Linked DNA regions of Caenorhabditis elegans. The protein of the gene in region 2 purifies or fractionates together with the protein of the main gene of each other region. This does not show direct contact. Each region holds a gene or a part of one and is shown on either strand. Other genes may lie near its edges.

The links.
Region 1: the proteins of unc-78 (region 2) and nhl-2 fractionate together in Caenorhabditis elegans (co-fractionation; one large-scale study listed by BioGRID). This does not show direct contact.
Region 3: the proteins of unc-78 (region 2) and C45B2.6 fractionate together in Caenorhabditis elegans (co-fractionation; one large-scale study listed by BioGRID). This does not show direct contact.
Region 4: the proteins of unc-78 (region 2) and prx-12 fractionate together in Caenorhabditis elegans (co-fractionation; one large-scale study listed by BioGRID). This does not show direct contact.

Annotation. Positions count from the first base shown.
Region 1 is NC_003281.10:4,891,047-4,900,871, reverse strand, and holds nhl-2 (B box-type domain-containing protein), read left to right. Parts: upstream 1-1,786; 5' UTR 1,787-1,914; coding exon 1,915-2,036; intron 2,037-2,341; coding exon 2,342-2,687; intron 2,688-2,786; coding exon 2,787-3,323; intron 3,324-3,382; coding exon 3,383-3,824; intron 3,825-3,875; coding exon 3,876-4,426; intron 4,427-4,511; coding exon 4,512-5,274; intron 5,275-5,320; coding exon 5,321-5,493; intron 5,494-5,552; coding exon 5,553-5,717; 3' UTR 5,718-7,214; downstream 7,215-9,825. Other genes in the region: tag-340 (START domain-containing protein), read right to left, coding at 47-114; F26F4.6 (TFIIS-type domain-containing protein), read left to right, coding at 7,479-7,578, 7,629-8,019, 8,474-8,551, 8,601-8,777, 8,833-8,968.
Region 2 is NC_003284.9:3,407,522-3,415,070, reverse strand, and holds unc-78 (Actin-interacting protein 1), read left to right. Parts: upstream 1-3,455; 5' UTR 3,456-3,456; coding exon 3,457-3,529; intron 3,530-3,924; coding exon 3,925-4,403; intron 4,404-4,831; coding exon 4,832-5,324; intron 5,325-5,366; coding exon 5,367-5,863; exon of another isoform or gene 5,864-5,911; coding exon 5,912-6,098; intron 6,099-6,145; coding exon 6,146-6,252; 3' UTR 6,253-6,397; downstream 6,398-7,549. Other genes in the region: putative oxidoreductase dhs-27, read left to right, coding at 365-518, 627-860, 903-1,006, 1,051-1,122, 1,193-1,303, 1,762-1,923, 1,970-2,095; vit-5 (Vitellogenin-5), read right to left, coding at 6,516-6,775, 6,828-6,963, 7,009-7,237, 7,287-7,549. UniProt on the Caenorhabditis elegans protein: Induces disassembly of actin filaments in conjunction with ADF/cofilin family proteins. Regulator of actin organization in myofibrils.
Region 3 is NC_003284.9:6,050,080-6,058,439, forward strand, and holds C45B2.6 (phospholipase A2), read left to right. Parts: upstream 1-2,978; 5' UTR 2,979-3,020; coding exon 3,021-3,137; intron 3,138-3,372; coding exon 3,373-3,489; intron 3,490-3,532; coding exon 3,533-3,762; intron 3,763-3,817; coding exon 3,818-3,992; intron 3,993-4,327; coding exon 4,328-4,439; intron 4,440-4,483; coding exon 4,484-4,574; intron 4,575-4,622; coding exon 4,623-4,719; intron 4,720-4,763; coding exon 4,764-4,848; intron 4,849-4,891; coding exon 4,892-5,161; intron 5,162-5,210; coding exon 5,211-5,467; intron 5,468-5,543; coding exon 5,544-5,797; intron 5,798-5,845; coding exon 5,846-6,116; intron 6,117-6,667; coding exon 6,668-6,823; intron 6,824-6,872; coding exon 6,873-6,929; 3' UTR 6,930-7,094; downstream 7,095-8,360. Other genes in the region: gln-1 (glutamine synthetase), read left to right, coding at 8,203-8,242, 8,289-8,360.
Region 4 is NC_003284.9:11,390,961-11,396,472, forward strand, and holds prx-12 (Peroxisome assembly protein 12), read left to right. Parts: upstream 1-2,332; 5' UTR 2,333-2,340; coding exon 2,341-2,481; intron 2,482-2,530; coding exon 2,531-2,639; intron 2,640-2,686; coding exon 2,687-2,880; intron 2,881-2,924; coding exon 2,925-3,139; intron 3,140-3,184; coding exon 3,185-3,502; intron 3,503-3,550; coding exon 3,551-3,608; 3' UTR 3,609-3,659; downstream 3,660-5,512. Other genes in the region: prmn-1 (PRoMiNin (5-transmembrane domain glycoprotein) homolog), read left to right, coding at 1-120, 170-366, 413-578, 630-719, 769-878, 992-1,066, 1,396-1,447; slo-2 (RCK N-terminal domain-containing protein), read right to left, coding at 3,739-3,886, 3,949-4,036, 4,307-4,430, 4,486-4,608, 4,657-4,740, 4,784-5,126, 5,389-5,512. UniProt on the Caenorhabditis elegans protein: Component of a retrotranslocation channel required for peroxisome organization by mediating export of the PEX5/prx-5 receptor from peroxisomes to the cytosol, thereby promoting PEX5/prx-5 recycling.

The DNA.
Region 1 (9,825 bases), on a different chromosome or scaffold from region 2:
CTGTAAATATAAATTCAAAATTAAAAGTAATAAAATTTTTGCCAACCGTTTTCTGTCTTTGCTCACTCCGATTCTTTGAGATCCGGGGGAAATTAGTGGTTGACGTCCGCTCATGACCTTTTTTCGATGTTTTCCATTCTTTTTTAATCTGAAATATTGGGAATTTTAAAACTTAAGTAAGGGTAATCAAATGAAAATCACTTTTCAGTATCCTCTGGAGCTGAAAAAGTAAGGTAAGAAGTAGTTGGTGAGGCAATTTTGAATATTGATGCACGAATGAGACAACTGATATCAAGAAAGAGGTCAAACTGATAAGGCGTCAAAAAATAGAATCTCATCGAAAAAGGAAAACAATTTCTTTAAAACTTTACAGTACCTGTGAAATTTTAAAGGAGCATAGCTTTTTCCATTGAAAAGGTCCCGCAACGAAATTGGTACTGTGAATTTCAGAACTCCTCTTGGACAAATTCTTTTTGAATAAATCCTTGCTTTTTATTAAAAAATTGTTCCCTTTTGAGTATTTATTTCTGTTGAACTGGTAAAATATATTTAAATAAATATTAATTTAGTCAAATTGCAACTCTTTATTAGTGGAAGCGCCTTTCAAAAACCTGCTCGTATCGATTTCGTTGGCTAAAATGCGAAAAAAGTAAACAAAATTCCTATGAAGCCTAATTAGCGTCTGATAAAGTTTTTAACTTGATACGTTACTATTGTAAAAAGATTTTAAATTCTTTTTTATGTAAATTCGGAAAAAAATTTCCAATAGAGTGTTTGTCATCTGAATGATCATGCGAATGGTCATCCACCAACCGCTTCCGAAAAAATCGTCGAATTTCCCTGCCGCACTTTTGCAGTTTTCCTCACGCCCCTCACTCCGCCCACTTGGCATTCAGCCAACAAATACCCTCGAGGTGGTGAAAGTGCAGCTGGCACGATGCCAAGTAGGCGGTTTCTCTGCGTAGCGGCCGCGAAAGTGTGTGTCATGCGTGTGAGACGATACAGAAAGCGGTGTCCCAGTCTATGACTACTCTCTTCATTCTGCATACTCTCTCGCCACTGTCTGCACGCGTCTCGTGCAAAAGTGCGCTAGTAATTGCTCTTTTTCGTCGAAATGACGTCATTTTTTCGAATTTTGCAAATTGATTTTTCAGTAACAGGTAGAATTTGATTTCAGCTTTCTGCTTTTCTAATAAATTTCAATGTTTTATCGTGAAATTCTGAAGAAAATGGCATCCAAAGTGCATTATTTTGTTTTAAAACTTTTGAATTTTTTTAAATTCTTCATTTTTTATTTAAAAATTAAAAATTTTCTGTTAAAATCAACAATTTTCGTTTACAACACTTGCATTTAAACATTCCCTGCGCTCGCTTTTTGTTTAGTATTGCATTGCAGAATATTTAGAACATTGAATGCCATAAGTACTTTGTTTTTTCTTGATTATCTCTTCTTCCGTTTCATTTTTTCTGTATCTTATTCGTCTGCGCGTGATTCTTTTTTTGTAGAACCTAACAATTTTCTGGTCAGGTGGAATAAGTCTTATGACATTGAAAGAAACGCTGAAACTGAACGTTGTGTTGTTCAAACCAACAAATATTTTGTTTTTTTTTGTATTTAGGTGTTCGTTTTTGTTGTAATTCTTATTAGAGTTCGAATAGTTCACTGATTTTCCGAAACTTTAGACGCCTTCCTTGATTTTTTTATTATTCTTTTGAATGTATTTTCTGTGAAACTCGAATTTCTTACTACTCTTAAACCCAATTAACTTCTTATAATCATTTTTCATTTCAGTTTACACTCCAAGAGTGTCCCTGATACTTTAATATTCTCTTATTCTGTATTTGTGTGCTTGTTAATAACAAAAAGCACCCGGATAAGAAGATTGAAAAGTGTCGAACGTTCATTCCGTGAAGATGAAAAAAGCGGCAGATCGGCCGACTTCGGCGGTGAATGGTAGGCATGAATCGCCCGCTACGTCCACAAATAACACACAAAATAGTGGAACGCCCAGTTTGAATGGACAAGATCCACTGAGGTAAGCTATCATGAATTACATAAGTTAAAAAAAAACATTAAAATTCTTAATTTCAACTAAAACCTCTAATTTTGTTTTTTCCGTATCGATTATTTATTGTTTTTTAAATCTTTTAATTGGCAAAATCAAATTTTCAGCCAAAATAAAACAATTTTTCTGAAATTTCTTGAACTGCAACTACAAATTTTGAATTTTTTTTTTGATGAATTTGGTTATGAAAGTCGGTCTTTTTTAGGCCATTGTTAGTATATTACATCTTTAAACACTAATTTTTCCTGATAAATAAATAATCCAAATAGTTTCAGATCAACGTCATCATCACCTCTATTTGGCACAGAACCACTACCAGAAGATGATCATGCTTCATGTCCATACTGTCAACAAGATTTCCGTAAACCGCGAGTTCTTGATTGTCTTCATTCAATGTGCGAAGATTGTATTATTGCTCAACTTGATGGACACCTTCAAGCAAAGTCAGCTGCCATTGAAGAGAAGAAACGAGCGACTGCAGCAATGTTGGATTGTGAATTGGAAACACCGAAAGTTAAAGAACGACCAACACCTCCTGGCGTAATCCGATGTCCAATTTGTTCACAAGAATCGCATGTTGGAAATGATGTTCGATATGTTCATGCCATGCTCCTGGATTTTGTAAGTTGAATTTTTTTCTGAAACATAGTATTTTGGTCTTTTGATCTACCAAAAACATTACTAAACTTGGATTCAATGTTTTCAATATAATATTTCCAGGTTCGTCTTGCCGAAATGAAGGAAGTTGAAGTTGAGAAAATGGTTGCCCACCATCGCAAACCATGTACTGCCTGCAAATCCGAACAAGAAGCCATCGCATTCTGTGATCAATGCTCTTCAGATTTATGCGAAAACTGCACAACTGCTCATACTGTCATGAACCTTTTCCAAGGTCACACTGTAACCACATTTGCTGATCTTCGGCAGCCTGGAGCCCATCCAGAACTTCGTCAAGTCATGTGCTCCACTCATAATCAGCATATGAGATATTTGTGTGCAGCATGTGAAACAGCGGCTTGTAAGCAATGCCTGGAAGTTGATCATTTGAATCATAAAATCATTGATATCAACGAGCTTGTGATCAATGCTATAAGGGAAGATGTGACAAGTACTGTGGATCGTGTCGAAAAGAAATATAACAATTCTGTGGCTGATATGAATAGCCTTCCAGACAAGTCTCAACAGTTGAATGAACAGTATGAGATTGCGAAGTATCGAGTTGATAAACATTATGAGGAGTTACGCAATTCTATTGAGGTAGGGCATCAAAATTTAAATGTTTTGGAGTTAAAGGGAAAAATATATTAAAATTTCAGGAGGCCTATCAAAAAAGCGTGAACGATCTCGAAGAGGCGCGAATCCGTCAAGAGTCTAACATTGATGAAATGTACCGTAAATCACAAGTTAACGAAGCACGAGTACATGATGCCATCAACTTCACTCGCCGACTTCTTACCAAAGGAAATGGTCTCGAGTTGGTTGTTTCGAGGAAAAAAGTTATTCAACAATTTGGAAACTTGTCTCATGCTATTCCATCTCATGGACACCAAGTGGAACTTGAGTTTTATACTCCATCGAAAAAACAAATTGATCATTTTGTGCATCAACTAACTGGAACAGTTATCGGACGAGTGATTCAGCCAACTGTTAAAGACGTTGGAAATGCAACTGCAGCATCAACTGATAGAAGTGAAAGAGGAGGTTCTCAACCAGGAGGTGGAAGATCTAGCTCAGCAGCTAATCCATCACAACAAGATGGTAAATTGATTATTTTCTCTATAAATTGATTATTAATATTGATTCTTTCAGAATGGGGACGCCCTGTTTATTCACAAAATCCACAACTCGGTGCAATTGGTGGAGAACGTAAGAAGAACACACAGAATGGAACCAATGGTACTCGTGGAGACAGCAATGCATTCGGCGGATGGCCACCAAGCAGTCATCCACCAGAATCGACAACTCCCCCACCTGTTACTGGACCTCAAACTATGATAACTGGAGCTCCGACTCAGACAGCTGCTCCAATTGTTTCTCAACAGCAACTTTCGAATCTTCCTAATGCAGCTGCGATGGCTGCTGCGGCTGCTGGTATGCGTCCTGATCTGGTTGCCTTGGCTGCAAATCACATGGATTTGGCAGCACTTACGAATGGATCAACAAATGGATCACAAACTCCATTGCCAGAGTCTATTTTCCCAGCGATGTGGAATGCTCGTCAAGGGCTTCCAGCAGTGGCTACACCAACAACTACTGGTCTGTCAACTAATGCTTCAGCCGCCTATATGCAGCAGAAGTTAGCAGCGGCTCAACTACAAGCACTTGCCAGCCATCGATTGAATCCACAAATAATGTCAATGGTAAGCTCTATTTTTGAAACATTCCTAAATACTATTCATTATTCATATTATGCAGTCACAACACATGCTTAATATTTATTTTCAGAACAACCTGCGCACCAATCAAACAATTCAAGAGTTTTTGGCGATGAATGCAATGGGAAATTTGAGTTTGAATCCTCAACTCACATCAGCTGCAGCTGCAGCACTAGCAGCTACTGCTGCCGCAAATTCGGCTGTAACCACTACTGCTTCGGATGTCGGTCAATCGCAGAATTCAGCGAACGCACAACGAGTCAGCGATCTGAAGGTGCACAGTGTGTTCGGAACATCTCAACAAGGAAGCACTATTCGAGAGTTGCATTGTCCATCTGGATTCTGTTTGTCTGACACTGATGATATTCTGATTGCTGATACCAATAATCATCGAGTTGTCGTATGTGGTCCACCTCATCCATGGAAGATTGGACGTCCAGGAACGGATGACGGACAATTGTGCTTCCCAAGAAAAGTGATTGCACTGAGAGGAGAAGCTGTCCGTTATGTGGTACTCGATAAAGGCGGTGACGGGAAAACTCGTGCTCAGATCTTCGAAGCTCGTGGTGAATTCGTCAAACGTCTCAACATGATGGCTTTGGTTCCACGTGGCGGAATAGAAGTATCCGCTGCTGCCGCAACCCCGAATGGACAACTTTTACTTGTTGATACTGCTGGATTTGTGTATTCTATTGATGTAGATGCACCACGAGTCACATTCTGGTTCGATGCTTCCACTCAACTCGGAGAAGCTTCTGATGTTGCCATGTTTGATAACCTGATTTATATAACGGATTTCAAGCATCATTGTGTCCAAGTTTACACTTCTGAAGGTACCGTAATAATTTTCTGGATTAAAAAAAAGTGTAATATTTTCAGGAAAATTCATCCGAAAAATGGGAGAACCATCACAGACCCCATATCCAATTGGAATAGACGTCTCGAAGGCAGGAGAGGTTCTTGTAGCTGATACTCATGGAAATCATCTGCACGTTGTTGTATTCTCACCCGAAGGACAACATATTCATTCATTTACTCACAACGAGTTTAGAGTAAGTATCTTGAAAATTATTTAGAAAGTGCAGTTATATTGAACAATTTGTATTTTCAGCTTTCTCGGTGCGTTGGTCTCCGAATCGCTAAAAGTGGTCACATTGTGACGTTGTGTAAGCATAACCACACTCTATTCGTCTTCAAACCATTGATTCTTCCAAATGGACTTCCTGTTCCAACTCCAGTTCCTCATGCAACTTCGCTCATCAGCAAGTTTCAGTGAGGAGGTTACCCCAATTCCTATATAAGCTTTTTTTCTTGTACATTTCTTTTTTCTCATTTCTAGCCGTCTTCTTTTTTTTCCTTCTCCCTTTGCTTATCCGCCTTTTTGTTGTCCCCGGTGTTGTTCCATTATTTTAAGTTCCTAAGTTTCTTTCCCCTCCCCATATCTCTTAATTCTTTCGTTTTGAGACCTCATTTGCCACCCCTCCTCTCCCTCAAGCTTTTTAATACAAAAACGTCTCTTTTTTATTTTGCTCAAATTCTTTCCAAAGATTTTAAGTTTTTTCTTCTTATTTCCCATTTATCCAGTTTATACCATTTTATTCGTTAAAATGTAAATACCGTTAGCGTTTTTTTTTTCAAATTTACCCCTGTCAACTTTTCAACCCGCCCCCGCCTTTCCGTTTCAAAAATGTTCTTGTTTTTTCTTTCTTATAAGCCTCATCTTAGGACTGCATCGTTTTGTATCTATTTTAAGTGAAATTTGAATTTCAGCTCGCCCAAAAAAAATCAAAAAATTCCAAAAAAAATATAGGGCTCCCTACACACTCTTACTCACTTCCGTTCATTTTTCTCGTATATTGTTATCCTTGTTATAATTTCAGCGTTTTCAAACGGGAGATCAACTTTTAAAAAACTCTGAAACTATAAAGTTTATATTTTGAACTACAACAAAACCTCGTCATCGTTGTCCCAAATTCTATTCTAAAAAGCGTCCCTGTGCAGCAACCATTTCTTTTCTTTCTCCAAATATTCTCGCATTCAGCCAAATTTTATCAGATTTTTATACTATTTTACGAAAATGCTCAATTTCCCCCAAATTCCCGGCTTTTTTTTCTATGTTTCCTCATTTCTAGCGATTCTAGAGGTCAGTCATATATACTCTATACGTTGAGTTAAACGCTCTTCATTGAAATTCTAGTGCATTTTTCAATTGAGATCGCTTAACTTTTTCCTATACATACAGTGTAATTCTCCCCCCTAGTCCCGTCGCTTTCAAATGTTTCTTATATATCCCAGTAGGTACCACAAAAAGCTCTTCTAAAAGCACATTTCGTTACTCAATTTCTTCATATTCCCATTTTTGAAATCGTTTTTATTCGTTTTGTACATTTCTTTTTATTCTCATCTATCGAATCGAACCTCATCTTTAATCCTGTTTCGTGATGATTATAGACACAATTATCTACTCTCTTCCATCATTTTTTATAAAAGCCCCGTACCTTTCCCACTGAAATTTCAAATTTGCCGCTCAAAACCATCATTTTCTTCTTTTTTGTGAAATTTTTATTGGAGCGAATTCTTATTCTCACTTTTTTGTGCTAACCACTTTGATTTTTCCCCCATTTTTATTGAGTCCATTTCCGTGGCGAATCCAAAGCGCTTTCTAGTACACATTCTCAATGTTTTCTACAAGGCTATTTCTCAGAATTTTATTATAATTACCATCTTTTTCAAAATTTTAACTTTGATGAAAATAAAGTGTTAATCAAAAAAAAAAGTATTTTTCGTGTTTTTCGTGTTTGCTGTGCGTTAGATGTGCGCGTGAATATATCGAAGATGTGAATCAATGAAGAGAAAAGATACGCAGAGATATTGAACAATGATCAATAATTATTATGGTCGAATGACGAGAAAACGATAAAGGTACATAGATATCAAGACTTTTATAATTAAATCATGCTTCGCTGCTTTTTCAAATTTGATTTTCTCGCTTTTTTGTCTAGATAAAACTGAAATTTACAGCTGGATTTAACTGAAAATGTCTACTCAAAATGAAGAATCTGAAGAATCAGCTCGACGACCTCAATCAATTAGTCATTTGGCACGAGTGGAAGTAGAAGAACCAGCAAGGAAAATGAGTGAGATTTTAAATTTAAAATAAAAATTAACATGAATTACGTATTTTCAGGATTAATGTTCGGTGAGAAACAAGTGGTCTTCATCCGATCGGATGGTTTGAGAAGCCGAGTTGTTCGGGAGAATATGAAGAAGAAGTTGAGTCAAGAAATTGAGAAAAAGGAAGATTTGGACACAGATTCACCAAATCTCACAAAAGTGATTGATGATGTGGCAAGTGGAGCAACAGGATCATCTTCTCTTCCATCTAGTTCCACTGAATCATATTCAACTTCATCATCATCATCTTCTTCGTCTTCTGACTTGAATTCTGCATATTCTTCGACATCTGAGCCTCAAGCAACAAGTTCTTCTGCTCCAGAGTCTTCTACCAACTCCTCTGCATCTCCAGAAATCAAAGGAAACAGGAATTACCATCCACCGAGGGAATTTCATGGTGCATCGTGAGTTTCGTTAAAAATTAATGGATTTTAAACTCCCTCATTTCGGAAAATGAAACAAAAGCTGTGAAAACCCCATCTTTCATTCTCTTTTTTTCATGAAAGTTATTTTTCGAAAAAAAACATTTCATTAATTAATATTAAATTTAAAAAATGGCACTCCGATTCAAATTTACTGTTATACACAACTCGCATACTACATGTACAAAATTTTTACAATTTATTTTTTTTGGCTGAAAAAGCTACATTTCCCATCATTTTCGGTGCCTTTCTCTGTCGTTGGCATCTAAATAGCCAATTTATTGTTGTTGTTCTTTATGGTTTCAACAGTACTGTTAACAGTTAACTGAACATATAAAATTAGTAAAATTTGTTTAAGCCGAAACGCTTTCGCGGTTATTTTCAAATTTTTGAAGTTTATAAGCAGCATAAACCTGAATAAAAATGCACTTTTCAGAACCATGGTAAGCCACAAACGACGATGGACTTATCAGACAGCATGTGACATCAATGCAGCTGAACAGAGCGGTGATAGGTAATATTCTCTTCTTCAGCTTTTGCCAAAAACCTCAGAAATGTTACAGTGAAATGTATTACATCGCCCATCCACTCCTACCAATGCCACGTGGCAGCGGACGCAATGAAGTAAGCACGGCGACTCGAATGAATTATGCGGGTCAACAAATTGACAATCGAAAATTTCGAGGACAGTCAAAAGCTGTGAATCAGTTTGCGAATACTGAGAGTGTTACATGTGAAAAGTTGGTTTTCTTTCTGTTTTGGAAGCTAAAAGATATAAATATTCATTTTTCACAGATGCGGAATGCGTTATTTCTTTGAATCAATACAAATGCAGGAACGTATCTCATATTTGTTACCACCCAACGAGGAAGATCTTCCAATAGCACTTTTTGAGTGTCCTGTGTGCAAAATAACTACAAAAGTGAAATAATTTTTTCAAAGTTTCCATCACCACATCTCGATAAATCACACTGAGAAACGGAATCCTAATAGATCGAATTAATCAAGCGCCAATTATGTCTCCATTCAATGGGTGGGGCGGTTTTCAGCCTCACAGAAAAAAAAGAAACTGGATGATAAACGACCCCTCCCTTCTAATTTCATGAACTTTTTTTCCTTTTTTCCAGATTACTTTTTCTAGGTTTTTGGTAGTGATTTATATACTCGTTGCCTTTGAACTTTGTCCCATAGTCTTTCAAATAGTAAGTAATAAACGATTTTTGTCGATATGGTGTACTTTTTCCTTTTTTTTGGTTTTTTGTGTGCTTCCCTTTGTTGTTGTAACATGTGTGATGTTCGTGTGTGACTACCTTCATTATTTATTTCTATTCTACAAACTAAACCACATTTTGAAACTTTCGGCACGAAAAAAAGTTCAAAACCAAAAATTGCCATAGGAATTTCCGTGAAAAACGCGCATTATTTATCTATTTACTCTTCAAATGTTTTCGTTTCGGATTCACCAATGATTTTGCCTCACGGAAAAGATACGCTGCCGGTCTTCTAATATTTGTTTGTTTTTTGATTTCCGCAAATTTATGCTTTCTGGTCATTTTTGGTTTGCGAAGTTTTCAAAAATTAGAAAAAAAAACTTGAAAAGCGCAAATCGCGGCATACGGTATTGTTAAAGGGACGTTCTTGCTCGGGATGAGGTCTCGCAACGCTCGGTATAGGATTACTGTATATCATTATTTTAATATCGATTTTCGACTTGATATTTTTCTTCTTCACAATTTCAGCGTTAACTTTTTGCTTTTTGTTATTAGTTCTAAGTATTCAACTCGAAAA
Region 2 (7,549 bases):
TGTATGCTGTTGCCGCTGGTGATTGCATTCTTCTCGTCATATAGGACAACGTCCGTTTCCACACACACACTCCAAAACTATCAATCTGACCGTCCCCCCCCCCCCCATTTTCCCCCCTAAAATGGAGGGACGACGAGGTCATCCGCACACAGTTCCTGTGTGCGCCGACACGCGGCCTTGGATCATTCCGCTCATTATCCTCCTTTCTGCAGGCTACTGTTCTTCTTACTCTTACTCATAAAAGGTTTTCTATCTGTGTCAATGTTTGCTACATTTCTCTCATCTCCTGCATTTTCTGACCCAAATTATTACATTCTTGTCTTGTCACCAACTGTTTTTTTTTCAAAGAATTCTAAAATTTCAGATGTCAGGCGCATTATGGAGTGCCGCACAGTTTGCCGTTACTTCATATGTGTGCGTCCGAGTTCTCAAATTTCTGTACATTATGTGTAAGAGTGTACTTGTGCATTTTATCACACCGAAACACGACTTGGACTACTTGAAGGATACCTGGACTGGTATGTTATATTTTTATATTTTATTTTGAATAAAATACTATTCTGGGCTAAAGCTGCCTGAACAATATAGTTGAATCATGTTCTGAAATTCAAAATTCATTGCTACAGTGATTACTGGAGGAACCGATGGAATTGGAAAAGCGTACATTGAAGAACTCTGCAAAACAAGAGGGCTCAAAAAATTCTACCTGATTGGCCGCAATATCGACAAATTGAACAACACCAAGAAGGAGCTAGTGGAGCAACATGGATGCGAGGTTATGTGCCATGTCCATGATTTTGAAAAAGACGACTTGTCAGCTCTCCCCAAGGATCTCGAAACTTTAGATGTTGGAATTTTGAGTAAGCAATTTTTTCCAACATTTTCACAATGTATTTTTACAGTCAATTGTGCCGGAATTGCTCCACATATCATTGGAACACTGACCGAGCTGCCAGAAGGATTGGCGTCCAAGATTCTTCGTGTTAACCTGATGTCTGCTGTTAAGGTTTCAATACTCTGATACTTTTCCAAATTAAGGCTTTGTTTCAGATGACCGAGATGATTCTGCCAAACATGGTGAAGAAAAAGCGAGGAATCATTGTAAATATCTCATCAATGACGGTAAGCGCCTACCAACCGTTACCTACCTACCTACCGTAACTTCCGAGATTTACTAATCATATACTTCCAGGGCTGGAGGCCGCTTCCGTACCTCAGTTCTTACCCGGCTAGCAAAGCTGCATTATCCTTCTTCTCCGACTCCTTGTCAGATGAATACCGAGGAACTGGAATTCGTGTTCAGGTACGTATTTTCAATAGGTACACTTTAAATTTAAATCTTAACAATTACCGATTTATTGTCCAATACGTTTTAAATATTCCTTCAAGGCATTCAAAATTGAAATTCAAAATTTCAAATATATAGAGCCTTCGTTAAACAGCCTTAAATGCACTGAAATACTTTCAGAAAGCTTTTGAGTTGTGTTCTTGCATTTTGAATAATTGTAGATACCTAATCGAAAAACGAGCTGTCAAATGACATGCTTATCTGAAAATTTGTATTCTATAAAATGTATATATTAATACTTACAACAACGGAGTTTTTAATTTAAATGTCGCACGTCTAAACGTAACCAGTTACATGTAATGATTTTGCCAGAACTGATTCAATTTATTGTTAAACGTATTGTATTTTAACTCAAAATCTTTCTTCACAAACTTTAAAAAAAAACTCAAGTGTAAGTTTATTCATTTTTCCAGTGTCTCATTCCAATGCTCGTTGCTACCAAGGTCGCCTCGTATGAAGCTGAAGAAGCGAACAATATCTTCGTTGTCACCCCTGAAAACTTTGCCAAACAAGCTGTCAGAATTATCGGGACTAATTGGGAAATCACAACGGGCTGTGTGCAACATGATGTTCAGGTAAAATCAATGGTGTCTTAGTGGTCTGAATATTGCAAAATTTCAGGTTGCCCTTGGAACATTGTTCTCCTTTTGGTTTTTCAAAGTACTTTTCGTCCCTGTTGTTATGCTCGGAGTTCATAAGCATCGTGTTGCCTCTTATCAAGCGAAGAACTCGAGAAAGAATAATTAGAGTTTTTATCATTTCACGTTTATCCATTTTCGTTCATTTTTATCATGATTTTTTTTTATTGAATGCTATTTTTCAGATAAAAAAGTTTTCGTGTGAACTTAATTTTTTAGAATCTTTTTTTTAAAGTTGATCACCGATTGAAGCTTTTTTTGCCAGAAAAAACATTTCAAATTTTTCCCACTGGCCATACTCCACAGAATTGCTGCACACACTTGAATCCTGCAAATATGTTGGCTCTAGAGAAAGAAAAACAGTTTTAAAAAATTAAATATACAAATTTTTATGATCTACTTGTTTTTCGAATATTCCTATTGAAACATCTCGAGAAGCCAAGTTGTCAGCAATTTTTTATAAGCTTTTAGTATGTAGTTTGGATTGTAGTACTCTTTATTCAAAAATACTTTTGGACTTAAATAATAACATGTCTTTTTTATATTAATGAATATATTGATATTGAAAATTTAGCTCTTCCGGTGACTCACGGGGAATCATATTCTAGTTTGCACAAATTCATACGAGAAAAGTAGAAAAGGGAGGAAAAAAATCGTTTTTTGTTGCGATAAGGCTATAGTTCGCTTAGTCAGCCCCTCCTTAACGTGTATGCAACATGAATCACATGTGCTTGGTGAGTTGTCTCATCGAGAAAATGTTTCATTTCTCATTCGAAAAGTTATTGCAAAACCCGACCAATTTTCTTCTTATTTTGTTTTGTTTCGACATGTTGTTCGAGAAAAAAAAACGTGTTTTTCACCCAAAGCTTCCCCCGCAGGTTTATCGATTTTTCCAGTGACGGCTAATAATAAAAAAAGCGGTCGATGAGCAACGAGGAGTTTACAGCCGATCCTCTGTTTGCGTGAACCTCCGTTTCTCGATTGTCGAGTGATGATGGGAATCGCCGAGTCGCAGATTGAAAAACACGTCTTGCTGTCGAATGCTTTCCACCCGGCGAGCCGGCGGGCCCCGTTTTCTATTGACCTCCTCTTTCTCACAACAATAACACTTATTCACTTTTTTCACGTCACAAATAACTATCGCATTGTTCTTCGTTATCAACAAAAATAGATCGACCAAATTAATAATTTTTTCTTAGAAAAAAAAAAGAAAATTTCAATTATAAAATTCCGTCGAAAAACTTATATATTTCAAGCAAAGAAAACAGTTGTTCAATCTTTGCGGCCTAGGAAACCCCATCTCGGCCGCGCGCACTGTTTGTTAGTGACCAGTGACCGCTGTCCTTCCGCACCCTCATTAGTTCCTCACCCGCTGTCGTCACTATTTCTTCTCAATGCTCTCGTTTGATTTTATTGATTTTCTTCCTTCGATCTTTTGGATTCCTGCTCAATTTTTACAATTTTTGCAGAATGTCGGAATTCTCTCAAACCGCATTGTTCCCGTCTTTGCCTCGCACTGCTAGAGGAACTGCCGTAGTTCTCGGTGAGTTTTTATATTTTTAATTGCACGGTGATTTTACTATTTAATACTAGAAATTGAAGCCGTATGGCTGCATTATATTTTAATATGGCTGCAATACTAATTTTCAGATAAATTGTTTCTTTAAAATAATTAGTCTTCACTTGCAAAAGTAGAAAATTCTGAAAATTCATATTGCGCAACATATTTAAAGTATTTCGTAGCGAAAACCACATTGATCCTTTAAAAAACTACTGTAGCGCTTGTTGTTACTGTAGTTTTTTTGTCAATTGTGCGAAAAATAGTAAAAATCATTGATGAAATATTTAAGTATTAGTGAGACGCTTTGGCAACAGAAAAAGTGCAAAGTGAAACGGTTAATAGGAAAGCTAAATCACGTTTTACAAAAATACTTCCAGGCAACACCCCCGCTGGAGACAAGATTCAATATTGTAACGGAACATCGGTTTATACTGTACCAGTTGGAAGCCTAACCGACACCGAAATCTACACTGAGCATTCTCACCAAACGACTGTCGCCAAGACAAGCCCAAGTGGTTATTATTGTGCTTCTGGTGATGTTCATGGAAATGTTCGTATCTGGGACACAACTCAAACCACCCACATTCTGAAAACTACTATTCCGGTGTTCTCTGGACCAGTGAAGGATATTTCGTGGGATAGCGAAAGTAAGAGAATTGCCGCCGTTGGAGAAGGCAGAGAACGTTTCGGTCATGTTTTCTTGTTTGACACTGGAACGTCTAATGGAAATCTTACCGGACAAGCTCGCGCTATGAACAGCGTCGACTTCAAGCCATCACGCCCATTCCGCATTATCTCTGGATCTGATGATAATACAGTGGCGATTTTTGAAGGACCACCATTCAAATTTAAAAGTGTAAGTGATTGTAATATTGGATTAGTTTTTGAAAATTCTCCACAAAGGTTCCGCTTAAAGTATTTCGAAATACTACATGTTATTCTATTAGGTTTGTGTTAAGTTGTATTTTTTAATTCCAAAAAAGATAATTTCGCGTGAGCTTTTCGCTGAAGTTTCATGCTTTTTATTTGATAAAACATTAAAAAAAACACTGAGCGAACTTTTTTTTCAGAAACTATCAACAAATAATGTAGAAAAAAACCTGAACGTATGCGTGAATTTTTAATACTACCGGAATGCAAACATCTTTTCAGTAGCTTATTGTCAGTGCAACTCTAACAGAGATTTAATTTTGATAGAAGGAAACTTGTTTTAAATGACTCGAGTGTTCCAAATACGTTTTCAGACAAAAAACCAGTTTCAAATTTATTTTCCAATTTTTCCAGACTTTCGGAGAACATACGAAATTCGTCCACTCTGTGCGCTACAACCCTGATGGCTCTCTGTTCGCCTCGACTGGAGGAGATGGAACCATTGTGTTATACAACGGAGTTGATGGAACAAAAACCGGAGTCTTTGAAGATGACTCTTTGAAAAATGTCGCTCATTCTGGATCTGTGTTTGGCCTTACCTGGAGCCCGGATGGTACAAAAATCGCATCGGCTTCTGCTGATAAGACCATTAAAATTTGGAATGTGGCTACATTAAAGGTTGAAAAGACTATTCCCGTTGGAACTAGAATTGAAGATCAACAACTTGGAATCATTTGGACCAAGCAGGCTCTTGTGTCTATCTCTGCTAATGGATTTATCAATTTTGTCAATCCAGAATTGGGAAGTATCGATCAGGTTAGATACGGACACAACAAGGCGATTACTGCACTTAGCAGCAGCGCTGATGGAAAAACTCTTTTCAGTGCTGATGCTGAAGGACATATTAGTGAGTAGTTTCAGTGCTTCGAAATTTAAAACTTGTTTTCAGACTCCTGGGATATTTCCACAGGAATATCAAACCGCGTGTTTCCGGATGTTCACGCCACAATGATCACCGGAATCAAGACAACCAGCAAGGGTGATTTGTTCACCGTCAGTTGGGATGATCATCTGAAGGTTGTTCCTGCCGGAGGTTCTGGAGTCGATTCTTCCAAAGCTGTTGCCAACAAATTATCTTCGCAACCTCTCGGTCTCGCCGTTTCCGCAGATGGAGATATTGCAGTTGCTGCTTGCTATAAGCATATTGCAATTTACTCTCATGGAAAGCTCACGGAAGTACCAATTAGCTACAATTCTTCCTGTGTGGCATTATCGAACGATAAGCAATTTGTTGCTGTTGGTGGACAAGACTCGAAGGTCCATGTGTACAAACTCTCTGGAGCAAGTGTCTCTGAAGTTAAAACAATTGTCCATCCTGCTGAAATCACATCTGTCGCATTTTCGAATAATGGAGCTTTCCTCGTGGCAACCGATCAATCACGAAAGGTTAGTTTTTGAAAAAAAATCATTTCTATTATAGATTTCAAAATTCAGGTTATCCCGTACTCTGTTGCGAACAACTTCGAGCTAGCTCACACAAACTCCTGGACTTTCCATACCGCCAAGGTTGCATGTGTTTCCTGGTCACCGGACAATGTCCGTTTGGCGACCGGTTCCTTGGATAACAGCGTTATTGTATGGAACATGAACAAACCATCTGATCATCCGATCATCATTAAAGGTAAATATTTCTCTATTAATTTAACACATTTAACAACATTTTTATAGGTGCTCATGCTATGTCGTCTGTCAATTCGGTAATTTGGCTCAACGAAACTACAATTGTGTCGGCCGGACAAGATTCGAATATCAAGTTCTGGAATGTACCTTTTTAAGTCGAGAAGCTTTTTGATTGCCCTCTAAGTATCCTTAAAATTATATTGATTTTCATAATTATCACTAATTTTCGTGTTTACTGCAAGCACTATCATCTCCTTCGAAGCCTTAAATACACGCGTAAATAAAAACTATTGGTGCAAAGCTGTGTTTCGATTGACATCCTTACAACATGTGTATTTGTTTTCTAGAAGTGATGAGAAAAAAAATCATTCTAGTGAAAATGCTTTATTTAATAGAAAATTAATAAAACATATGAAATCTAATAGGCAACGCAGGCGGTTGGGATCTTGACAGACTCAACGAAGGAGACTGGGAAATCGACCAACTCGGCAACAGTTTGCTCACGAGCTTCCTTCAAGAAACGACGAGCGTTCTTGCTGTGGCGTGGCATGCAAGTGAAACGGATCTTCTTGTTGGAAGTCTTCTCGGATTCGAGTCCACGGCGGCACTCAGAGACTGGCTCGATGGAGAAGCAGACGCGGTTGGAGAACTCCTTGATGAGGGTCTTCTTGACGAGTTCTGAAAAATATGTATTTTGTTAAAACTACACATCATTCAGCCTTAGACTAACCCTTCTCAGTTTCCTTCTCATCGTAGTTGCTCTCGTAGTCGGAGCTGCTCTCGTAGTCGGACTTCTTCTCTTCTCTGTTCCATTTGTTTCTGTAGTTCTTCTTCTCGGAGATGCGGTCGTTCTCAACTTCGCATTCCTGAAAATGAAATTTACATTCAGTTCATTGAAAAAATCTGATTACCTCATTCTTGAGAAGGTAAGACCGGTGGAATTCCTCAACATCCTCAGTTTCGTAGTTGTCAGCGGTCATGAACTCATTGTCTCTCTCACCGTCATTGTTTCCGCAAAGTCCGCAAAGTTGGTTTTGTGAAGCAACGGATGGCATGTTGGTCTTGACAGTGTATCCATCGAAACGAACCTCTCCTTGTGGAAGACGAATAACAATAAGGTTATCTCCAAGAATTTCGATACTGAAAAACGAGATTAGAAAAATTCATGTGATTTAGAGTTAAAGCTTACTTGTATTGTTCAAGTTCAGTTGGGTTAACCTTCTTTCCGTCAACCTTGACAAGGAACTTATCGTCAGACTTCTTCACAACAATTTCTTCCTCACGGCGGACAACCTTAACGAGAAGCTCCTCAGAGTTCTTGTTGATCTTCTTGGCAAGAACAGCGAATCTTGGCTGTTCAGAGCAATCCTTGGCAACAAGAGAGTAGCAGGTGGTGAGTGGAGCGCGGTAGATCACGTTGTCAAAGGTAGAAACCTCAGATTGGTCAACCTT
Region 3 (8,360 bases), 2.6 Mb from region 2:
CAATGTAGAAAAAAAACAGTTCGAAACCTGGACTGTTTGCTAGAAATGGAGAATGGCACTGTGTTTGTTGAACGCGCGCCATTTTCTAGTGTTATCAATTGAATGGAGGAAACAGAGAAAGATAACTAGTACGGTGGGTCGCGGATGATGCGGCCAAGGCAATTGATAAAGAGCTGCGGAGGGGCAAAACGGACGGATGAGGGGAGGATGTCGTTGGAGATAAAATCAATCGATAGCGGTCAAATGAAGAAGAACACACACAACCAGACATACGCACACACACATATACACGACAGGAAGGGGTGAAGAGGGAGTAAGAGATGTGAGTAAGAGAGATAGAACAACTTGGACAACCACCTAACATCTCGACCTCTCGACACTTATCATTTGGAGCTTCCTGAAATCTCAGTGAGCAGCAAAACTATTAGTGGGTGTTTCCCTGAATTTTTGAACTGTAGACATCGCTCAATTAGTATGTTTAATTGCAGTACAGACTCATGACGAGACGGTGCAAATAAAAAAAGATGAAGAACCTTGTCAATACAAGATGCAACGGTTTTCCGAGTTTGAGCTATTGGAATACACTTTTTGTATGCCGACAACCAAATGAACGGAAATCCAGTTCTTGATTTTTGTTTGACAAATGTCTTGATTTGTTGCCGAGTGAAACGAAAAAATGAAATGAGCGTTGAGACCCACGCGGAGAAAATTTTTATGGAGGCAGAGTTAAAAGGGCTTTGATGTTTTGATTAACCTAATTAAAAGCATATATCATCAACCTGAGGACAACGAGGCAAGAATCGAATTGCGGGGGACAAGATGAGGAGATCCTATCACCGTGTCATCTCAATCCTCGGCTGCGATGGTTTCACTTTCCACCGGTGTGGCCACAGGGGGAAAACCTTCCTGTGCGTATGTATGTGTTATTATCATCGCCTATATCATCAAGCACACATACACATATAATACACACATACACGCTCAATTCATTGAAATGTAGCGAGAATGCGAAAACTAGTTCGATGTCGTTTCAAATTCGGATCAATCTGATATCAATTATTGTTTTCTACTTGATGCCGCCGGTAGGCTTTGACACTAACGAGATAAAGGAATGTCCCCCGGAATTTTAAAGACTTTTTTCTCTTTGACAAACAGATTGACAAGGTCGGAATGTGTGTTCAAAGTTGGAGAATGTAACATAAAAAGTGCGCAATTGAAGATAAGTTGAAATAGACAGTAAATTAGTGAGTTCGAATCTTACCAACTTGTACCTATTGCAGAAGCATGTAGATTGTTTTCGTTCAATTATCACCACTTCTTGAGTACTTAGGCTGTTTATGCCAAAGTTTTCTGTATATTTCAGTACATTCTCAGTACATAGCTAATCGATAGTTATCCAAATTTAGTATTCTATCAACTGAACTGAAAAATATTTACCAAAACATGCAGAATTAGCTTCAAAAAAGGGGACTAATGTAAAACTTTTAGACATTTTTTTGAAAAATTCCTCATAAATTGGGTTTTAAGGCCATTTTGAGTCTATCGAGGGGAACAATTTCTACTTTTTCAAAAAATAAAACTTAAAAAAGCCGCCAAAGTAGAGAAATGGGGGGGGGGGGGGGGGGAGGTGCATGTCTGAAAGGGAAAATATGGTAATACTTAATAAACAAAGTTTACATGATGCGTCGACAAAAATGTTTCTAGGGATAAAAAAGTCGAATATCTAAAACCAACTCTATGAATAGGTTATGTAAACATTCGACGATCGACGGTGCAGGCCTCTGCAACTTACGCCATCTTGGTTCGTGGCAAAGGTCAAATGTAGGATTGGTAGATTTAGCTAGGCTGTCTCACACGCACTCCCGTTTGTAGTCTCTTTCTCTCTCTTGTATCATCGCCGGCACCATCTAGCAACGGGACCACGTTTATGAGACAAGAGTGTGTGAGTAATGAGTGTTTTGGAGCATACTTTCAAAGATTACACACATTCCTTTGATAAAGTGGATGAAGGAAAGGAACGGATATATTCCGAAAATAAGTAACAGATTTTTAACCAATTAATCTTGTTAGGTTTGAAATATTATATTATTTTCAACTTTTATAACTTTGTCTTTCATTTGTTATCTATCAAAGTGGTAAAAAGAAAAAGGATGGCACAAAGGATATTTGGCAATTGAACAAAAACGGAAACACTAGGAGACATGCATTCGAAATTACGTTCCGAAAGGTCACAAGTTGACGTTTAATGAGAGTTCTAAAACCATAAAAAGAGGACAATCTTCTGATCGCAAAAACGGACTCTTTGCCCAGTTTTAAAATGGTTCCAAATAAGCAATTGAATTGAAAACAAACCAACAACAGTTTTAGATCAAAGTTCATGGGGATGAACTGAGGGGGAAAAGTGCACGGATTGAGTTAATGGACGATCGAGCGAATCTATCGGAAACCGGATTTGTTCGAGATGCTGGTAACTTTTCTATCATTTAAGTGGGGGCTTTTAAATGGATTGCATCGAATTGGGTGGGAAACTTTTGGGTATTAGTCAATAGTTTTTTATTGTAAGTTTTGCTGCAAAATACAACAGTAAAACTTGAAAGTCATTTCTATTTAGAAAAAAAAACAAATCGAAAAAAGTAACAGCTGTACAAATCGATAAGAACACATGCACTGTCTGGGCAAAGGGTGAGGGCGGGAAAACAATGTCCGCAGAGAACGCATTAATTATTCACAAATAGTTTAAAAGAAAAAAAAACGAATTCTTACTAGAAATTCAACACGTTTTTTGTATTGTTTAGAGAAAAACCAAAAGGAAACGGAAACCTCTCATCTGAAGTGGTATAGTGCACTCAAGTCCGCAAAAGTGTACATGCGGACCTGACACCACATTTGACGACACCTATGCTAATTGTTGTTGTTATATTCCATTTCCAGTTTGTTCCATGTTTCACATCATATTTCTATGAACACAGTTATTTCAGATGGATTTTTTCATGAAACTTGCCAAAAGTGACGTCGGCCAGATGGCGATGAACACAGTCCGACAAAACGTGGAGGATAAAATCAAAGAATACGCGGATGCTCAACATAAAGCAGCTGGTTCAACGTCTCAAGCCAGCAATCCACAGGCACAATCGATGGTGAGTTTTGAACATTTTGAGTTTATGAAAAATTGAAAAAAAAACTTGAGCATGCACTTTCTAAAAATAAATTTAAAAAATATTTTTTCTATAGTTTTTTATAAATTTTTGTTTAAAAAACTACCACACAACGATGAGGAAAACGATGTTTTTTTAATGTGTCAAAAATGTGCTCCCAGATTATGGTTTTTTAAATTATTAAAAACCTTTACCTATTTATTTGCACAATTTTCAGTGGCCGGGACCTGTGGATAAAACCTTGAAATTTTCTATCAACTCAAAGCTTTCTACGAACTTTTCACAAGCTACATATGGTGATGGATATGCACTTGTCTACACACCAAACAACTATGTAAGCTGAAATAACATTAAAAATACACGTAGAAACTTTCCAGGTTGTTTATTTCAATAAGAATGCATCTTACATTGACGATCTGGAATATTTGTGGAAAGAATTTGACGAATCCATCACACATCTGAACAATCCTATCAACGTCATTAATGATTTGGTACCGGTTATGCTGAGAGAAAAGGAATTACAATCCGAGTGCTCAGCAGTATATTTTGCGATTTTTTCTGGATTTTCAAATTATGTTAAGGAGGAGAAAAAGAAAGAAGGAGATGGGTAGGTTACTGTCAAATCAAGTTTTATTGAGTTAACAAAAACTGAACCGTTTCAGCTTCTCAATGTCAAAACTAAATAGAAGAGGTGATACTCCCGTTCATGTTGCCGCTCGATTTGCATCTCTTAGTTTACTTCAAATGGTCTGGGACAAATATTTCGATCCATTGACAATGAATCATAATGGTCAGACAATTTTGCAAGTTGCACGTCATCGTCCAGAAATTGTAAAGGTGAATATTTATTAAAATAAAAGATACGAGGTGGAAAAATGTGTCTTGGGGGGATTTTGCTGAAAATTACAAAACAAATGCCTTAATAGACATTAATAGGCGTTATATCAATAAATGAAAACTATAGAAATTGGTTAAGTCTGACGAAAAAAGCTTGCATATGGGTGGGACTCACTGAAAAATTAAAATCCGTACAGATGAAAACTGTGCTCCGGATCATTTTGCTGGATGATTTTTGCAGCTTCAATTTGTATACAAGTTTTTCCGATTCTATATTTTGAAAAAAAAAATGCTTCAATGTAAGAACAAATTTGGAAAACAATATATTTTTGCAGTACATCAACAGTCATGTTACCGGAGAAGTATGCGACAAAATGATCATAACCGCAGAAACTCATCCCAAGCCCGAAACTCCCGATTACCCGCGATCTTTTGAGAAAATTCTAGGTGAATACCAAAAATTACAACATTTTCTTTATCAACATATTCAGAATACTCAATCAAAAATAACTTGCCACATTGCTTATTGTCACCGGCAGATGTTCTCAACAAATCATCATTTTCACTGAGAGATCTTGAATCGTAAGTTGCCACATTGATTGTATCTATCTTATTAGTACCGTTTTTCAGAGTGCTGAGAATTCTCTACGTGCAAGACTCGGACTTTTTGGGGAGACTTTTGAACTCGAAGAATGTGTTTCACACATTTGACAATTTCGTGAAAGATGTTTGTTGAAATGACTATATTGTTTTTATTAATCAAATTTCCAGCACCAAAAGTTGATGCTCAGTTTTGCCAAAGCTGAAATGATAAACGCTCAAGATTTGAACGGACTCACACCAATGCATTATATAGGTAAACTGAACTACATTTAAATGGCAACTCGTAACTTTTTCAGCAAAAAATGGAAACCTAAGCACAATCATACTTCTTTGGTCGCACGGCGCGAATGTTAATATGCTTGATAACAAAGGAATGTCTCCAATGGATTATGCTCTTGAAAGAGATGACGTCGATATTGTAAAAGCATTTCTGGCGTTTGATGGACATTCCACCGACCGAATTTTGAAAGCTGCACTAAATTCCAGACGTAAATGTGCAGAAGTTCTGCAAAAACACTTCAAAGCACTTGAAGAAGGAAAAGAGAAAAATATTAAATACAATCTGGGTAACTTTGATATGTTTCTATTCGCTTTATAACATTCTGCGTCTTTCAGAAAACCCTTCTCATCGTCGTTGCCAAAACTTCCCGCCATTGACCAAGAAAGATTCAGTCATTTTGTCTATTGACGGAGGTGGTATGAAAGGAATTCTGGCTCTTCAGCTTTTGAAGGAGATCGAAAAGGTTGTTGGAAATAAATTCTTGCGCTGGTTCAATCATATCGGTGGAACATCAACTGGATCAATGATCACTCTTGGATTGGTCAAGTACGGAAATATTGACCATGTCATCAGACAATATTTCAGAATGAAAGTAGGAAAATGAACATTGAGAAAAGCGATTATGATATGGAAGATCAGGTGCTAGTTGCAATATCTTATTTTTTCAGGATGATATTTTCATTGGATCCAGACCATACTCTGGCGAAGGTCTGGAAAATGCTCTTCTAAATGAATTTGGAAGAGATACGCTCCAGCAACTCGGTGAGAAGAATGGTATTCGCATCAGTATCCCGGTTGCTCGAGTCGATATCAGCCCTCCGCTACTCTACATGTTCCGCAGTTATAACATCAGAGACCCGTCATTTGATCAAGCTGGCATGAAGCCTGTCTGGGCAGCTGCAAAAGTTGTTAGGGCTTCTTCGTGAGTCACAGCTGGACAGAAATGCACTTTTTGATTCGTATTTTTCAGAGCGGCGCCATCATTCTTCCCACCTGTTGATGGAAAGTTTATGGACGGAGGACTAATCGCTAATAATCCAGCTGTTGACATTCTTACTGATTGTCAACGCCTGGAATATGAGAGAAACGAGCGTAATGTGTCAAAGATCATGGTTTCAATTGGAACTGGGTCGATGCAAAAGAAAATTGAGAATGTTGACTTGATGAAGCCAACAACAATGGGTGGAATTGTGAACACGTTCAACCAGATTCTTCACTTAAAAGACGTCTTTATTGAGCAGGTGAGTTGCAAGCAATTCTTTTCAGATAAAAATGGCCAATAAAGTTTGAAGTTTTGCGCAGATCAATAAGTCTGTCAATGTAATTCAATCAAAGTTGTCAAAAAGTTTGTGTGCTCACTATTAGGCAACTCAATAGCAGAAAAGCCCAACTACGTTAATTTTAATCACCGGTGCCTTTCATAATTAGCAACGAACGTGAATGTTTCTTGAAAACATCTCAATTTATTCTCATATTGAAAACGCATCCTGAAAAGAGTTTTGACTTATTAGTTTGAACCAAAAATGGTTGTTTCAAATTCTAGTTTGAAGTGTGATTTCGGTGCTAAAATAGTTACATGGACTAATTTGACAAGTTTTCTTCGTAAATCTAAAGCTTCGTTCAAAACATGAGTGTATATGACTTACACTCGATAAACCGGAACTGTTATTTCTTAATTTTTTGTTAATTTTGTTTTCTATTTCCAATATTTTTTCTTTCTAGAATGGATTAACAACCTTTTCGGGGAAAACATCTAATTATATTGTCACCTTTCATTTTTCCACACTTTCAGCTCACAGCAGCTGATGGAGTAACCGTCGAACGGGCTCGTTGGATGGCTGAAGCCATGGGAATGGCTTTCTTCCGTTTCACTCCAAACCTTGAATTCCCAGTTGCTATTGACGAGAAGGATGATAGTGCGTTGCTGGATGCAATGCTCGCTGTCAAGGTAACCTAATGGATGACAATTTGATTCATTATGTATTGACTTTTTGCAGTATGAAGCTGTCGCAATGCGAAATGAGATGTACATGCTTTCTTCGATTCTCAAATAATTTGAGCCCTCTCGCAGATATTCAATAATCTATTAGTTTTGCTTTTCTCATATGTGAGAATACACATAAGTTCATAATTTTGTATACATTCTAAGTCTCAGTTGTGAAAAATCATTCCGTCATAATACATAGAAGTCTATTTGAACCGAGTAAATATTTTTTCAAGCTTTGTCGTATTTCCATTTTTGTTTATCTTCTCTGTCTTTTACTAGAGGTAAAAATCCATCAAGAAGTATTTTCGTTCAGTGCCACTCAGCTTTTTTTTATAATAATGTTTTTCTCTCAACCAAAGAATCAGTGAAGAGAATTTGCTCCTTTGATCTTATACAAAGAAAAAATAGCATCTGTCATATACATACGTATCTAGTCTGCACTTTTTTTCGTTCAATAAAACCAACTTTGCCGTTTTCCTTATTGTTGCCCAGACTACCAAGTACATGTGCGCAGCAGCGGCAGCCACACTTTTCCGATTAGTAGGTTTAATTTGATCAGTCTGATTTTTTGAATCAGAATGATAAAACGAAATTACTTTATCAGAATATCAATAAAGAATGTGTAAACTTCCGTTTTACAACTTACTATCACACGTATCATAGCTCCACAGCCACTCCACTTGTGACTTTCGGACGAATAATGTTTTCATTTTTCAAACATTTGAAGTTGTATTCTTTTGGTCTCTGATTTCTTGACTGTATGGCAACGATTCCCACCACCACCTCCCATTCTTTGATTGTTATCTGCGGTCTCTCGTTCTCTCTCTCTCTCTCTGTCGAGTACATTGCGTTTTTCACAAACCGCATGAGGTAACAAATTGGGCAAAGGGCAGGTACTTACACCAATATGGTCGTGAGCCGATCTCTGAGTTTCTTATGCTCCTTTTGTAACCACCATCCATCTGAATGGCGTTTGTGTAAACTTATATGAAGTGAACCGTCATTTGCTGAGTTGGTTCTCTGCGTCTTTTTTCTTCTAACCCCCCGCATGACTGTCTGCATCAATATGCTGACACACTCTCTCTTCCTCATCCTTCCTTTGACATATACACTCTCCGAAAAACCGAACCCGTCGTTAGTTGGTGTTTCATTCCATTTTAGTTTTACTTTCTAGTTTAAGGTTTTAAAGTTTTACTTTTCTTTCAATCTGTGTGTCCCAAACTTTTCTATTTATTAAATGTTTCATTTCAATTTATTTTAACTTCGAAATTGAATTAAAAGTTCCCAATTTTCTCAATTTCTTTAATTTTCAGAAACATCTTTTTCGCTAGCTCTCAAACATGTCGTACGGTAGATCAAACAAAAGGGCCCGAACGAACAGTAAGTTTGATCATATAAAACCCAATGAATAGTTGCTCTTTTTCAGATATTTCGGAGCTCAATGCTAAGTACATGGCTCTAGACCAATACAACAACTATCAGGTAATGTACATTTGGA
Region 4 (5,512 bases), 8.0 Mb from region 2:
ATGGAAAATATGCCGGAAATTCGTCCGCTTGATGCATTCATTTCAAGAAGCGAACTTCGAGATTTGGAGAAACTCGCCTCAGTGAATGTTTCAAAAGTTAGCCAACAAGGCCTGAATGCGGTTTGTAGATTGGAAACATAATTGAGCAATTTTTAACTTTGAGTTTCAGATAAAGCATGCAATGGATGAACTCGACTTAGCATCCAAAACGCGGGAATTCGAGGAATCTCTAGACGCAAATTCGGGTCGTCCTAAGGCAGTGACTCTTGTTCTTGAACAAATCAGAGAGTTAGAGATTCAATTTGCGAAACCATTAAGGAGCAGATTAGAGGCATTGTACTCTAACATTACTTCACTCGATGAAAAGTGAAAATTCTTTAAATGTTGAATTCCTATAAAATACTTATTCCAGACTTTCTCAGCTTCAAGTTCCTGTTTCTTCTCTTCTTGTAAAGCTTCAGCATGCTCAGGCTTTACTGGCTGAAAACATGAGAGAGCATTTCGGTCGTGCAGCTAAAGAAGAATTCCAACAAATGGTTAACAACATCGACCAGTACATAGTTCATGTCAAAAGCCAGGTAATAACGCAAAAGTGTTTCAAAAAATTCTATAATTGCTTGACTTTTCAGATGGAGAGCGAGGTCACGTCATGTCAACCGTTGACACAAATTGCCCGGCAAACAACTGCTGCTGTTTGTGCTTACACAATTGATCCATATGTAAAAATGACACAAAAATTGGGGAACTGTTTTCAATTTATAATTTCAGAACGGGACATGGATGTGTATGCTGATCTGCCTAGTTCTGTTGATACCAATTGTGATAATTTCAAACTCATTAATAGGTTTATACTCTAAGATGCACGCGTTCCCAAAATAGTAAGTTTCACAATTTTATTTAAAGAAAAGTGTCACAATAACTTTAGCTTAGCCATTTTTTCGAAAAATAACCCTTAACTTTGCAATTTTGAATATAATTTTATATATTTCAGCATTGTGGAACCACCATCTGAAACACATCACATGTCATCGTTCATTACCGATACATATGACACTAGGCCTAAGCCGTAAGTTAGCATATTAATATCAATTGGAATATTTTTTGAAACTACACATTTTGAAATGATCTTTCAAATACTCGGTATCAGAAATAAAACGAGTTCAGTTTGAAACACAAAAACCAACAATAAAGATCAAAAAGTTGATGTAGCAAATTACCAACAAATACTGTTTTAGAAAAATTTTGCATTATTACAAATGCGACAAAAATGTTTAATGTTTGCCAGAACCCAAAAAATATTAAATAATGAAAAAGTAACAGCCCTGCTATTGAAATCTGGATATGAAAAATGTTCTAAATATAAATTCAAATGTTTCAAAAAACTATTTTTTTCAGTGGATACGCAAACTACACCTACACAGATGATTATCAACGTAATTATCGATGAAGAGCCTCAGAAAATGTATTATCACAATTGCGCCTACTTAATTAAAAAATGCATGTATTTATGTCGACAATTCAGTTGAAATTTTCTTTCATTTCATTTGATCGCACCTAGAATCTACGAGTATCATTTTCCCATTATTCATTTCTCCCAGTCCCATGTTCTTTTTCTTAAAATCTACTCAAGTGAACCGCTCAATTCTACGCACACAGTTTTTCTATTCAGTGCCATTTTTGCATTTCCGTTTTTTCCTCAAATTCGATCTTCAGTTGTTTGACTTTTTTTCAGTTTCCGTAACTTTTACTGATAGAATTATCATTTATGTGATGATTCCCCAATTGCGGTTCGTATTTGAATAAAAACATTAAACCACCCTCCACGTTGGTTCAGTTCTTCCAAAAGCGGATTGAAGTTGATAAGAGTTAAGATAAGAACAAATGTTGCGTGCAAACAATTCGTGATTTATTGTTTTTATATTTAAAATAATGTATATAGTTGTCCACGTTTTGGTGTCTCTTTAAAAAAATCATAAAGAACTAGCACGCACCGTAAAACTCACTACAAATAATTGAAAATCCCATTTATTTATTATTCATGCATTTATTAAAGAGTCGTTATTTTCATTGTATTTTGCATCAATAGATCTACAGTTAAGAAAAGCAAAGGTTACATTGTTGCAATTCTAACCCTCCACATTTCAATTACTATCTAATCGTGATAAGACAAGGACACACTACGTCGTAGTATGATACGGACAGTGTCCTCGCTCCTCCGGCAATCGATGGTCGTGTTCAATCATTTTCATATCTCTCCTTTTTTTTGGTTTTATTTGTAAATTTTAATGAGTATAATCTCAACAATTTCCTCTTATTTTTAACTGAAAAATTTAGGAAATAATGAGTACGACTATTCGTGCCTCGCAGCTGGCTTCGTCAATTTCTCCAAAAACTGAAGAAAAGCAGCCATCGGTTTTTGATATAATCGCTCAAGAAAATCTTGCAACATCAATCAGACCGGCTTTACAGCATCTTGTAAAAGTATGTTAAGAATAAAAGTGAAACGAATATTTGAAATTGAACATTTCAGTATCTAGCATTCTTCAAGCCAAAAACATTTCTTTCGGTTCACCGAAACTTTGATGAATACTACATCATATTCGATCTCATTTTGCAAAACCACTATTTGAGAAACTATGGTACGTTTTTTAATTCCAATTTTTCACCTAAAGATAATGTGTTTCAGGAGCGTCGTTCACGGAAAACTTTTATTCTATGAAGCGAATAGCATCAGGCACAGGAAATCCACCGAACGATGGTAGGGAAAGAATAATGTCGCTTATTACATTAGTCGGATGGCCTTATGTAGAGAATAAATTGAATCAGCTTTATGACAGGCTCAAGGAAGTTTACGAATGCAGAAGCTGGTCATCAATTAATGTATGTATAGACAAATAAATTTGAAATATCGTTTATAATTCCAGGGCATGAAAGCAAAGTGTCAAAAAATGTTTGTGATCATTTGGCCATACATCAAGACAGCTCTTAAGGCAGTGAAAAGTGCTCTACAACTTGCATACATTTTGAACCGCAGCTCCATTCACTCGCCATGGCTTTACTTCTCAGGCGTGATTCTGAAACATCTTACGCCAGAAGACTTGGAAGCTTTCAATGCTGTTCCTCTTCATCTCCAAACTGGGTATCAAATTTCTAGAGGAACATTAAACGAACATATTCATTTAAGATTCTTCAATCGCATCTGGAGATTTATTTTGGGACTACCTGGAATCGTTTCAAGGCTCTTTGCTTATGGGCTCTTCTTTGTACAGTTTTTGGATTATATGTACAACACAGATTTGGCAAAACTTACAAAGACTGGCCTTGACGGAGCTATTCCTTCACCTCCACACAAAATGATCATATCTGAATCGGAAATTTTGAGTTTGGACACCAATAAATGCCCAATTTGTTTGAAGAAAAGAGTTAATGATACTGCGCTTTTTGTATCTGGATATGTATTCTGCTACACATGTATCAACCAATACGTAAACACTTATAACAAGTGAGTTTTCTTTATTTTAAACTATCAATTATTTGAGAAAAATTTCAGATGTCCAGTGACAGGATGCCCGGCAAACGTTCAGCATTTAATCCGTTTGTTTGTATAGCGCTACAAATTTAATTTTGAATCATGTTACGACAAATAAAATTACAAAAATATTCATTTTTAAAACACGAGCAAATATTCCAGCAAATTCAACTTTTCGTTGTGTTGGGCATTGTACAAAAAACGCAAGTTTACAAATTATTCTCATCAATGACAATTGTTGGGACTTGATTTGTTGAATCGATGGTTTCACTAACATTTTTACTGCGTCTTAGACCCCTTCTTGGGTTAATTCTTGCGTTGGTTGCATCTTTCCGGATTGGACTTCTGATTACGTAGCTGAAAGTTCATTTATGAGTTCTTGATCAAAAATTCATCTGAAATAGAATTTAAAATCGTACACAATATCTCCGGACTCTAGTTCCAAATCTTGAGCAGGATTGATGATGACATATGAGATTTGCGACTTTTCATCGCTTCCTTCGAGCACTGAAATTTAAAATACAGTTCACCACGTCTAACCGCACCAAGAAAAATGATCACACTGAAGCAATTAGAATTAAACTTAAAGAATCTTCAACCTTATTATGAAATGAAATAAAAGTAAATAGTAAGTATTAAAGTAAGTTTTCTAATTTTATTTTGTCTGCTGGTTCACACCACTCTTCGGCTTATACCTGTTGATCTGCACCGGCTAGCATATTTCCAATTGACTAGAAAGGGTTTAAAAATAGAAAACTAATTCCGAATAAAACTTACAAGTATGAGTGTCTTTTATATTAAGAAGTCTCATTCGATTTTTCACATGATCATACATATCTTTGTTTCTTCCCATTTCAGTGTTTTCAAAATCTTTGCATTGTTCTTGAAGATCAAGGGATACCTGAAAATATTAAAAAAAAAAACAATTAGTCGATACTGAGCAGATTTGTGTTTACCGTCTTAGTGTCCATCTTTTTGGTTCTGAAAATACCGATAGGAATATCAGCCACAGAGGAGCATAGTTTTTGATACAATCGTCCATAATTCCGAATCCATAAGTCATCCGATGTGATAACAAACTGAAATATTTATCACATGAAGGTTCACTGCAATTAGTTTGATTGTACCGAAGTTAAATATCCGCCATCACTATGTTGATCAATTCCAAGAAGAAGTCTGACTAGATCAACCACAAACGGTTTGATAATAGCCTGAATATATTACGTTTGAATATGCGGAAATTAAAAAATTAACCTGATAAAGTAATCTATCCAGCATGTTAGCACTAAAAACACCTCCTTGTGCAAATGGTAGTCGGAACATGAACGGCATATGAGAGCCACGTTTTCGTTCCTTTTTTTCAAATCTGGATTGAGCCAATGAATAAGCATTATGTGGATTGAACTGCACGAATCGCATGTTTGTCGCATGCGTCAATTCAGTGATCATTCGAAGTCTTGGGAACATTCGATGAATCTTTTGAACTGTGATAATTGTGTTACAATCTGCAGTATGCTCCTCTGCCATTACAGCTGTCTCCTTGACAACAACCACATGCTCCGCACTGCTTACACCAGCTCGGAGAAGGCAATCCAAACTGTAAGATGATGTATACTTATTGACGAACATATTAATGAACATGATAATTGGTCATCACTGCAACTCCCGCCAGACATCCGAAATTCAAAGACGAGTAGTTTATTATTACATTAAACTAAGGAATAAATAAGTTAGTTCACAGAGTTCACGTTGTACGATCTTCTTAGCCACGTCGTGGGTCAATACACGTTGATACCCAACAATAATAGATAATTTATTTCATGTATTGTTGAATTAAATTTATAAAAACATTCACTTACTTTCCAACTTTTCCCTTCATCCAATAAACATCTGGGAAATATGAGATTGCATCCAAAAATGCATCATTCAACGAATCTTGCTCTTCCAACTCCAAAAGAATGATGATCGGATGTAAATCATGCA